2 linked regions of the Nothobranchius furzeri genome follow. The protein of the gene in region 1 purifies or fractionates together with the protein of each later gene. This does not show direct contact. Links are inferred from orthologs where the notes say so. Each region holds a gene or a part of one and is shown in the gene's direction. Other genes may lie near its edges. The genes, in order: heatr3 and tmem186.

The links.
Region 2: the proteins of heatr3 (region 1) and tmem186 purify together in Homo sapiens (co-immunoprecipitation; 3 studies listed by BioGRID and IntAct, counting the BioPlex papers as one, with this or other methods). This does not show direct contact. The link is inferred for Nothobranchius furzeri from reciprocal best matches to the Homo sapiens genes HEATR3 and TMEM186.

Annotation. Positions count from the first base shown.
Region 1 is NC_091749.1:70,417,950-70,421,775, forward strand, and holds part of heatr3 (HEAT repeat-containing protein 3), read left to right. Parts: intron 1-2,447; coding exon 2,448-2,535; intron 2,536-2,819; coding exon 2,820-2,920; intron 2,921-3,826. UniProt on the Homo sapiens protein: Plays a role in ribosome biogenesis and in nuclear import of the 60S ribosomal protein L5/large ribosomal subunit protein uL18 (RPL5). Required for proper erythrocyte maturation.
Region 2 is NC_091744.1:5,453,104-5,456,474, reverse strand, and holds tmem186 (transmembrane protein 186), read left to right. Parts: upstream 1-1,396; 5' UTR 1,397-1,659; coding exon 1,660-1,662; intron 1,663-1,941; coding exon 1,942-2,607; 3' UTR 2,608-2,753; downstream 2,754-3,371. Other genes in the region: gde1 (glycerophosphodiester phosphodiesterase 1), read right to left, coding at 1-18, 675-944. UniProt on the Homo sapiens protein: As part of the MCIA complex, required for efficient assembly of the mitochondrial complex I.

The DNA of each region.
Region 1 (3,826 bases):
GATACTTTCTTCTTCTTCTTAACAGGCCATAATATAAGAGTTTGATCAAAAATAAGCCATTCATAATGGTTTGTTAACTGAAAGTAAACAGTTTGTTGTAGGGATGCACTGATACGATACTGGTATCGGTGCCGATACCAATACCAGTGTCGGTATCGGTAAAAGTTAACTGATATTTTACTTTTTTATCTACCTCACAGTCTTTTCCTGTTGAAAGCAGAGAAGAAAATAAAATCTGTATTCCAAATCATTGCATTGTTTGTGTGGCAGAAGTATCGGTATTGGTAATCGGTATCGGCGAGTTCTCAGATCCAAGTATCGGTATTGTATCGGTTTGGAAAAAAAGTGGTATTGTTGTATCCCTAGTTTGTTGCTGATAACTCACATGCTAATTAGCTCAAATCAATACGTGGCTGTTTAAGAAGTAATTCAAGGCAAATTATTATTCTGCATTAATAACCAAAAATATTATGTTCTGGTATGTAAATAAACACCAAACTCCACATGTTAATAGAGCCTAAACAACAAACAATTAACCACCTGTAAGCTAGAACATGTTCCCCCTTCTAAAGTCAGATGTTGTTCATACCTAATTACTAGTAGTTTAGTATTAATTAACCACCCAAAGGCAAGAATATGTTCCCCCTGAATTACTTCGTAAAAAGCCGCATATTGATTTGAGCTAATTAGCATGTGCGTTAATCAGCTACAAATCATTATGAATGGCTTATTATGATAAAACTCTTAATTTATGGCCTGTTAATGTTAAAATTACAGCATAAGCTCTTAATAAGTGCTTAATAATGACTAGTTCAGACTTAGTAGTCCACTAATATGCATATTAATTGGCAGCTAATTAATGGTTAATTTGTGTTCCCTAAACTAAGGTGTTACCAATGTTCTTATGCTGCACCTTCTGCACTGTAACTGCTCACGCTTAAACTTTGTCTTTTTTCTTTTTAATTTAAAAATCTAAATTGATTGGTGTGTAATATTTTAATTGTGCTGTCACTTTGATTTTAAAGTTCTTGCTAACTGGAAAGCACATTGAGTTGCCTCTGTGGATTAAATATGTGCTATAAATAAAGCTGCATTGTCTTTATTGTCTTTACTTGTTTAGTTTTTGTATTTAACATGAAATTATAAAGACTTTATGCAGGCTTGTGCACAGTACTGAGATTTGTACAGAATTTTTGGAAGTAGCCCAGAAGAGGGCGCCATTCTTCTGAAAGTCAGGCTATATCGTGATAAGTGTTTGGATTTAGAAGAAGAAGAAGAAAGTATCATTTCTATAGCGCCTCTCAAGATAAAAATCACGAGGCGCTTCACAAAAACAAAAAATGTAAAAGTATAAAAAAACATTTAGAAAATGTTAAAAAATATATTAAAATGAGCAAAAATAGGCAATTGTGATTAAAAAAATGTTAAGAAAGAGAGAGAGTGAATAGGAAAGAGGGAAATCAGTGGATCCTGAGGAAGGTGGAATAGGTGGGAGAGCAGAATAAAGAGAGAGAGGTGAAGAAGGTCATACAAAAGCCAGCTTGAACAAGTGAGTCTTCAGCTGCTTTTTAAAGGAGACCACTGAGTCCACTGATCTCAGGCTCAGGGGGAGAGAGGTCCAGAGTCTGGGGGCCACAGCAGCAAATGATTTGTCACCTTTGACCTTTAGCCTGGTGCTGCACAACCAGTAAGCTTTGATCACTGGACCTCAGGGACCTGCTGGGGGTGTAGGGACTAAGAAGATCACCAATGTAAGATGGTGCTTGTCCATGTAAGGCCCTATAGACCAGAACCAGGATCTTGAAATGAACCCTGAAGTTGACTGGCAGCCAGTGAAGCTGGAGGAGAAGCGGGGTGATGTGGGTGTGTTTGGAGGACTTGGTCAGAAGCCGAGCACAGGCGTTCTGAACCACCTGTAGACGGTTCAGGGAGGTTCTGCTCAGACACGTGAAAAGAGAGTTACAGTAGTCTAAGCGTGAGGAGATGAAGGTGTGGAGAACTGTCTCAAGTTCAGAGCGAGACAGAATGGGACTCAGCTTAGCAACGTTCCTGAGATGGAAGAAGGAAGAGCGAACAAGAGAACTGACATGAGAATCCAGGGTGAGAGCTGGGTCAAAGGTCACACGTAGATTCCTGACAGGGGGTTTGGTGTGAGAAGCAAGCTGACCAAGAGAGTCTCTGACTTTGGGAACCAGCTTGTCTGGGGCACAGATGATTAAATTAGAATTAAATTTAGATGATTAAAGCGACTCTTGCACCATATCGAGCTCTTTTACATCACTGATCATCTCCCAACCCTCTTCTCTCCCAGCACTCCTTCTAAACCTCCGTTTATACCACGGAAACGTTGCTCCTAGTGTTGGTTTCAGCTCCTCACAAACATGGCGAGTCTCCTCCATGCGACTGATGATGATGAGTGTGCGTCTGGGTCTGTTTCTCACTGGCAGGAATCTGAGTGCGTGTGGAGGTCAGGAGGTGTGCGAGGACATGGTGAAGCACGACGTGATGACTCCTCTGACAGCACTGCTTAGAGAGGTGAGACTCCGCCGCTGCTTTTAGCTCACTCCACCACTTCAGTTCCTCCTCATCAGCAGGCCGAAATATCTCCCGCAATTAGACGCCGCTCCAAGGCTTCACCCGCGGTGACTCGATGAAAAAGTGCTGCGTGCACGCTGGGGGAGAAATAGACTCGGTGTGAAATTCTAACTCGCCGCTGACCTTTTGTTAAGACCTGGCGGCATAAAAGATTTAAGTGTTTTTGTAGTGAAATCTGCCCTCTTTTCTTATAACGGACAACTGGAGATGCTTGTTTTTCTCAGTGTTGTGCTGGTTTCGACAACGCCGTTGTGACGATGACCGACCAGAACAATCCTGTGGAGAATGTGGCCCACGAAGCGGTGAACCTCCTCTGGAATCTGTGGTAAGGTCTGAAGGCCGCCAAGTCTTCACTTCCTTTAAGTAAAGATCAAACAGATCCCAAAGCAACCTAGAAAATCCGGGCAGTTCGTTTAGATTCCCGCTAGAATTAAAGCTAACACGATTGATCAAATGAAATTCTGGTGGGGTGGCATCATCAAATATAGTAGTAGATGTCTGTAAGTACTTATATTTGGACCTGTCTTGGTGCATAACCTTTATACAGAAATATCGTAGAGCGAGGGACACCAAACTGTGGCCTGCGGGCCATTTGTGGACCTCTGCTGCAGTGCAAGAATGCACAGGTGGTGTGCGTCAGCTTTGGCTTTAATATCTGGTAAACAGGGCCGTCGTTTGTTCCCTTTCTTTTTAGTGGGGCGACGGTGGCACTGGAGTTAGGTGCTCGCCCTGTAATCGGAAGGTTGCAGGTTCGAGCCCCGCTCAGTCTGTCGCTGTCGTTGTGTCCTTGGGCAAGAGACTTAACCCACATCGCCTGCTGGTGGTGGTCAGAGGGACCGGTGGCGCCTGTGCTCGGCAGCCTCGCCTCTGTCAGTGCGCCCCAGGGCAGCTGTGGCTACCTCGTAGCTCATCACCACCAGTGTGTGAATGTGTGTGTGAATGGGTGAATTCCTTGGGGGTTCCAGGAATCTAGAAGGCGCTATATCAAATACAGGCCATTTAACATTAGCGATGGATACCGAATTCGGTACTTTTTAAGGTACCGACCGAATTCCATAGTTCTGACTGAGCACTGATTCACGTCATTTGAAACGGCGCCTCGTTTCGGTACCCGTCCTTCATAACGAGAACTTGCCTAGACATCTGCGCATGCGCAAGAGCGTTATGTCGTCGGTCGCTGCGAGCGAGTTGTAAGCAGAGCAGCATGGTAGAAAGAACGCACGCTAAAGCT
Region 2 (3,371 bases), on another chromosome or scaffold:
TGCACCATTCTTACTGGCCTGCAGGTAAAAGCATTGGAGAACCAAGTCACCGTGAGCCAAAAAAGTAGATGCATTAAAATATCACATTATAAACATTTTGACGTGTGTCGTACACACTTTGGTTTAGTTCATTTGAAAATAAGCACGTTTAGATTTCAATCTCCTTAAATGGTTAGATAGTGCAAATGTAACCTGGGAGAGCTGTATCACACTGTGTGTGTGTGTGTGAGTGTGTGTAAATTGTGTGGGTGCAGCACTGGGCCGATTGGGGGAAGCTCAAGTCATCGTCACTACCTTCATACATGTTGGTTTGGTGAAGACAATTCAACTTCCCCCTGGATTTGAACTGGTCTCCCTGCCCTGTTTTGTAGGCACAACCTGCACAGACCGAGCTTTTATTTGGACTTTTAGCTTTTGCAATCTTTAATAAATTATCTATTTTTGAAGCGATCCGATTCTGTGCTTCATTGCCCACATTAATGCTGGTTGGTCAGACTCACTTCATGTAACATCTTGGGGGCTGATCTGCGGGTGTTACACAAATGTGTATTAAAGTGGAGGTATTACATTTTTAATCAATGACTAACTAAATCTCGCCATTAGAAGAAACAGCCGCTCTAGGTCGTGTGAAGGTTAACGGTTTAACGTCTTCCCTCCCCAGTGTCCCTTCTCACCTCCCGTATGGCTGCTATTGTGTTCTCCGGTGCGTCGTGTCCTCCGCCCCGGTGAGCGATCACAGACACCTTACCGCTGCCCACTGCACGGGAGTCTGGATGCAACACCTGCCGGGCTCGGCTGGTCGTCACCTGCGGGAACCGAAACATGGCTAGAAAGAAGTAGAGGGAAGCGGTGAGGACAGCCGACCACACCGGACTCCGCGTCCCCAGCAGGACCACCACGAGGACAAGTGAGTAGAGGGTGACTTCATCTCCCAGCTGAAGCATTGTAGACGACTTCTTGGGTTCACGAGCGCAGATTTTCTTCAGTTTGACATTTTCTTTCCTGTTAAGCTATTTTTCTTGGTTAAAAACGCGATGTTTCACACACATCCATGCTCCGTGTTATATTCTGACAGCAGCTATTAAGTGGAGCATTAAACCACATCTAAGCCGGAGAAAGCTAGAAACTGCTAGGACGGTTGAGCCGCTGAACGACCAAACGGGAGGACAACATTTCAGGTGGCACGTCGTAACGGCTGTGACCGGATGTTACGTAAAACAGGCGCGACCTTTGTCAAAGTAAACCAATAAAACTAACTCGTTATTTCACGAATCACACATTCAATGACATTTATTCTTCTACACTAAAACAACTGTAAATCCCACTTTGCTGGAGAACATATCTCGGAGGCTTGAAATATATTTCATTAAGTGGGGAAAACATTTTTCGACGGACCGAAACACATCTCGGCGCATCCCCGGATGTGGTTCTAAATAGGTTCGCTACATGCCGTTTGCAGCTCTTATTCAGTGTGAACAATTTCATACATTTTTTAAATTAAAATGTATACTTTACTAATGTTTCTAATGTGAGGAGAGTAAACGAGATCTTTAGGAACACACGGTTGTAACATCCGGGTCACAAAGCTGGACGTCTTCATGCCAAAAGTGGACTTGGGACTATTTTTGACTTTACCTGTGAATTAACCAGTCGTTGGCCATGGTGAGCATCATAGTGAGACTATTAATATTACTGTTATTACAGTGTTATCAAATTCAAAGGAATTGGTGGATCAAATAGATCAAACAATCCTACCCGCGAAATGCCCTTGAGCTTGATTTGATTCAGCTAGGAGATTAATTTGACCTCATTCTGAATAAGGGTTAACAGTTTTAATGTAAAACAGATCGAGACTTTATTCTGCTGTTAATATTTGGCTCAATTAGGTGACTGCATATTGCCTGACTGAATGTCGTATTTAATGTTTTTTTTCCCCCACAGATCAGGTCGATGTTGCTGAGCAGATTAACCCACCACACCCTGTCCTGCACAAGAGGATCATGTTTACTCTCTGGACGAGTGTCTAATGGTTTACAGTCTCATTTTTCAGGTCATACACCCATCCATCAGACCTCCCATGGACCCCTCACTCCTAAAATCACAACCTCCGTCAGATACTCAGACCTATCCACGCAGAAATTCTCTATGATTTACACGCTGCCACACATTAAGCTTCTCAGAGTCGTGTCCAGGCTCAAACTGCTCCAAACTGCAATCACTGCGGTCATCATTCCACCCATGTATTTCCTTTACTTCCAGGGTGACGTGTCCTTCTTTCTAGTATGCTACTCTACGGGGATTGCACTGTTTGCTGGTGTCATGCTGTATACTATGAGTCACTTCTTTAGAAGGGTTGTGGGGATGATGTACCTGGATCCATCCCAGACCACACTCAAAGTTTCTCACCTCACTTTTTGGGGCAAGCGTCAAGACACCTACCTACCCGTGTCAGACGTTTTGACCATCTGGGACACAGGAGACATGGAGAATGAGACCATACTGAAACTGAAGAGATACAGTAGTCCAGAGACAATGTATTTTTCTACTTATTACGGACGCGTTGTTGACAAGCAGGGCTTTGAGAGAGTGTTTGGGAGGCTAAAATAATTCTTCATTCAAAATGTGATCAACTAAATCACTGCTTTCAAGTATTGTAATAAGATCCAACAAATATACAAAAATATCCTGTTTTGAAATAAATGATTCAATTTCAATGTTTTCATTTCTTGATTTAAATAAATGTGACTAATGAGTGTCTGACTCTAGCCTCTTTACCTGGCCAGGTGAGTCGGACAGGTAAATGTTTTGATGTGTTTAATATCTGATGGCTCTGCAGAGTGGATCTATTCCCTTTACTGTTGATCTTATTGGTCCATTAGAGGTCTGAATGTGGTCATAAAACCCCCCTGGAGTTTTAGAGGAATCCTGCAGTTGAGTTTTCTTCCAACCTGATCATCCTGCATGGAAATGTGACTATTGATAAATTTTATTTGGAAAATCTATAATTTTTTGGGTTTCTTAATAGAATTCTATATGTTACAGATAAAAAAACTAATATTGTGAAGCAGACTGATTATGGTCTCGTACACAAGTTATAAAAAATTTAAGTTGACAAATTACAAATATCAGAGACACTGCAGTGAGGCATTTTCAATTAAAACATTTTCAGCTATTTGTAACATACATCTTTAGACAAAAACATCTAATCAGTTCTTCCAATAAACATTCAAATAATTACAAGATAAAATCCATGCATTTGAGTTTCCTGTATAGGAAATTTTCTCCAAACTCATCAGAAACACTTTTCCATTGCAACTCAGTCAAAAAAATAAAGCAAAATTATGCTGCAGATTTAAAATGCACTGGTAATA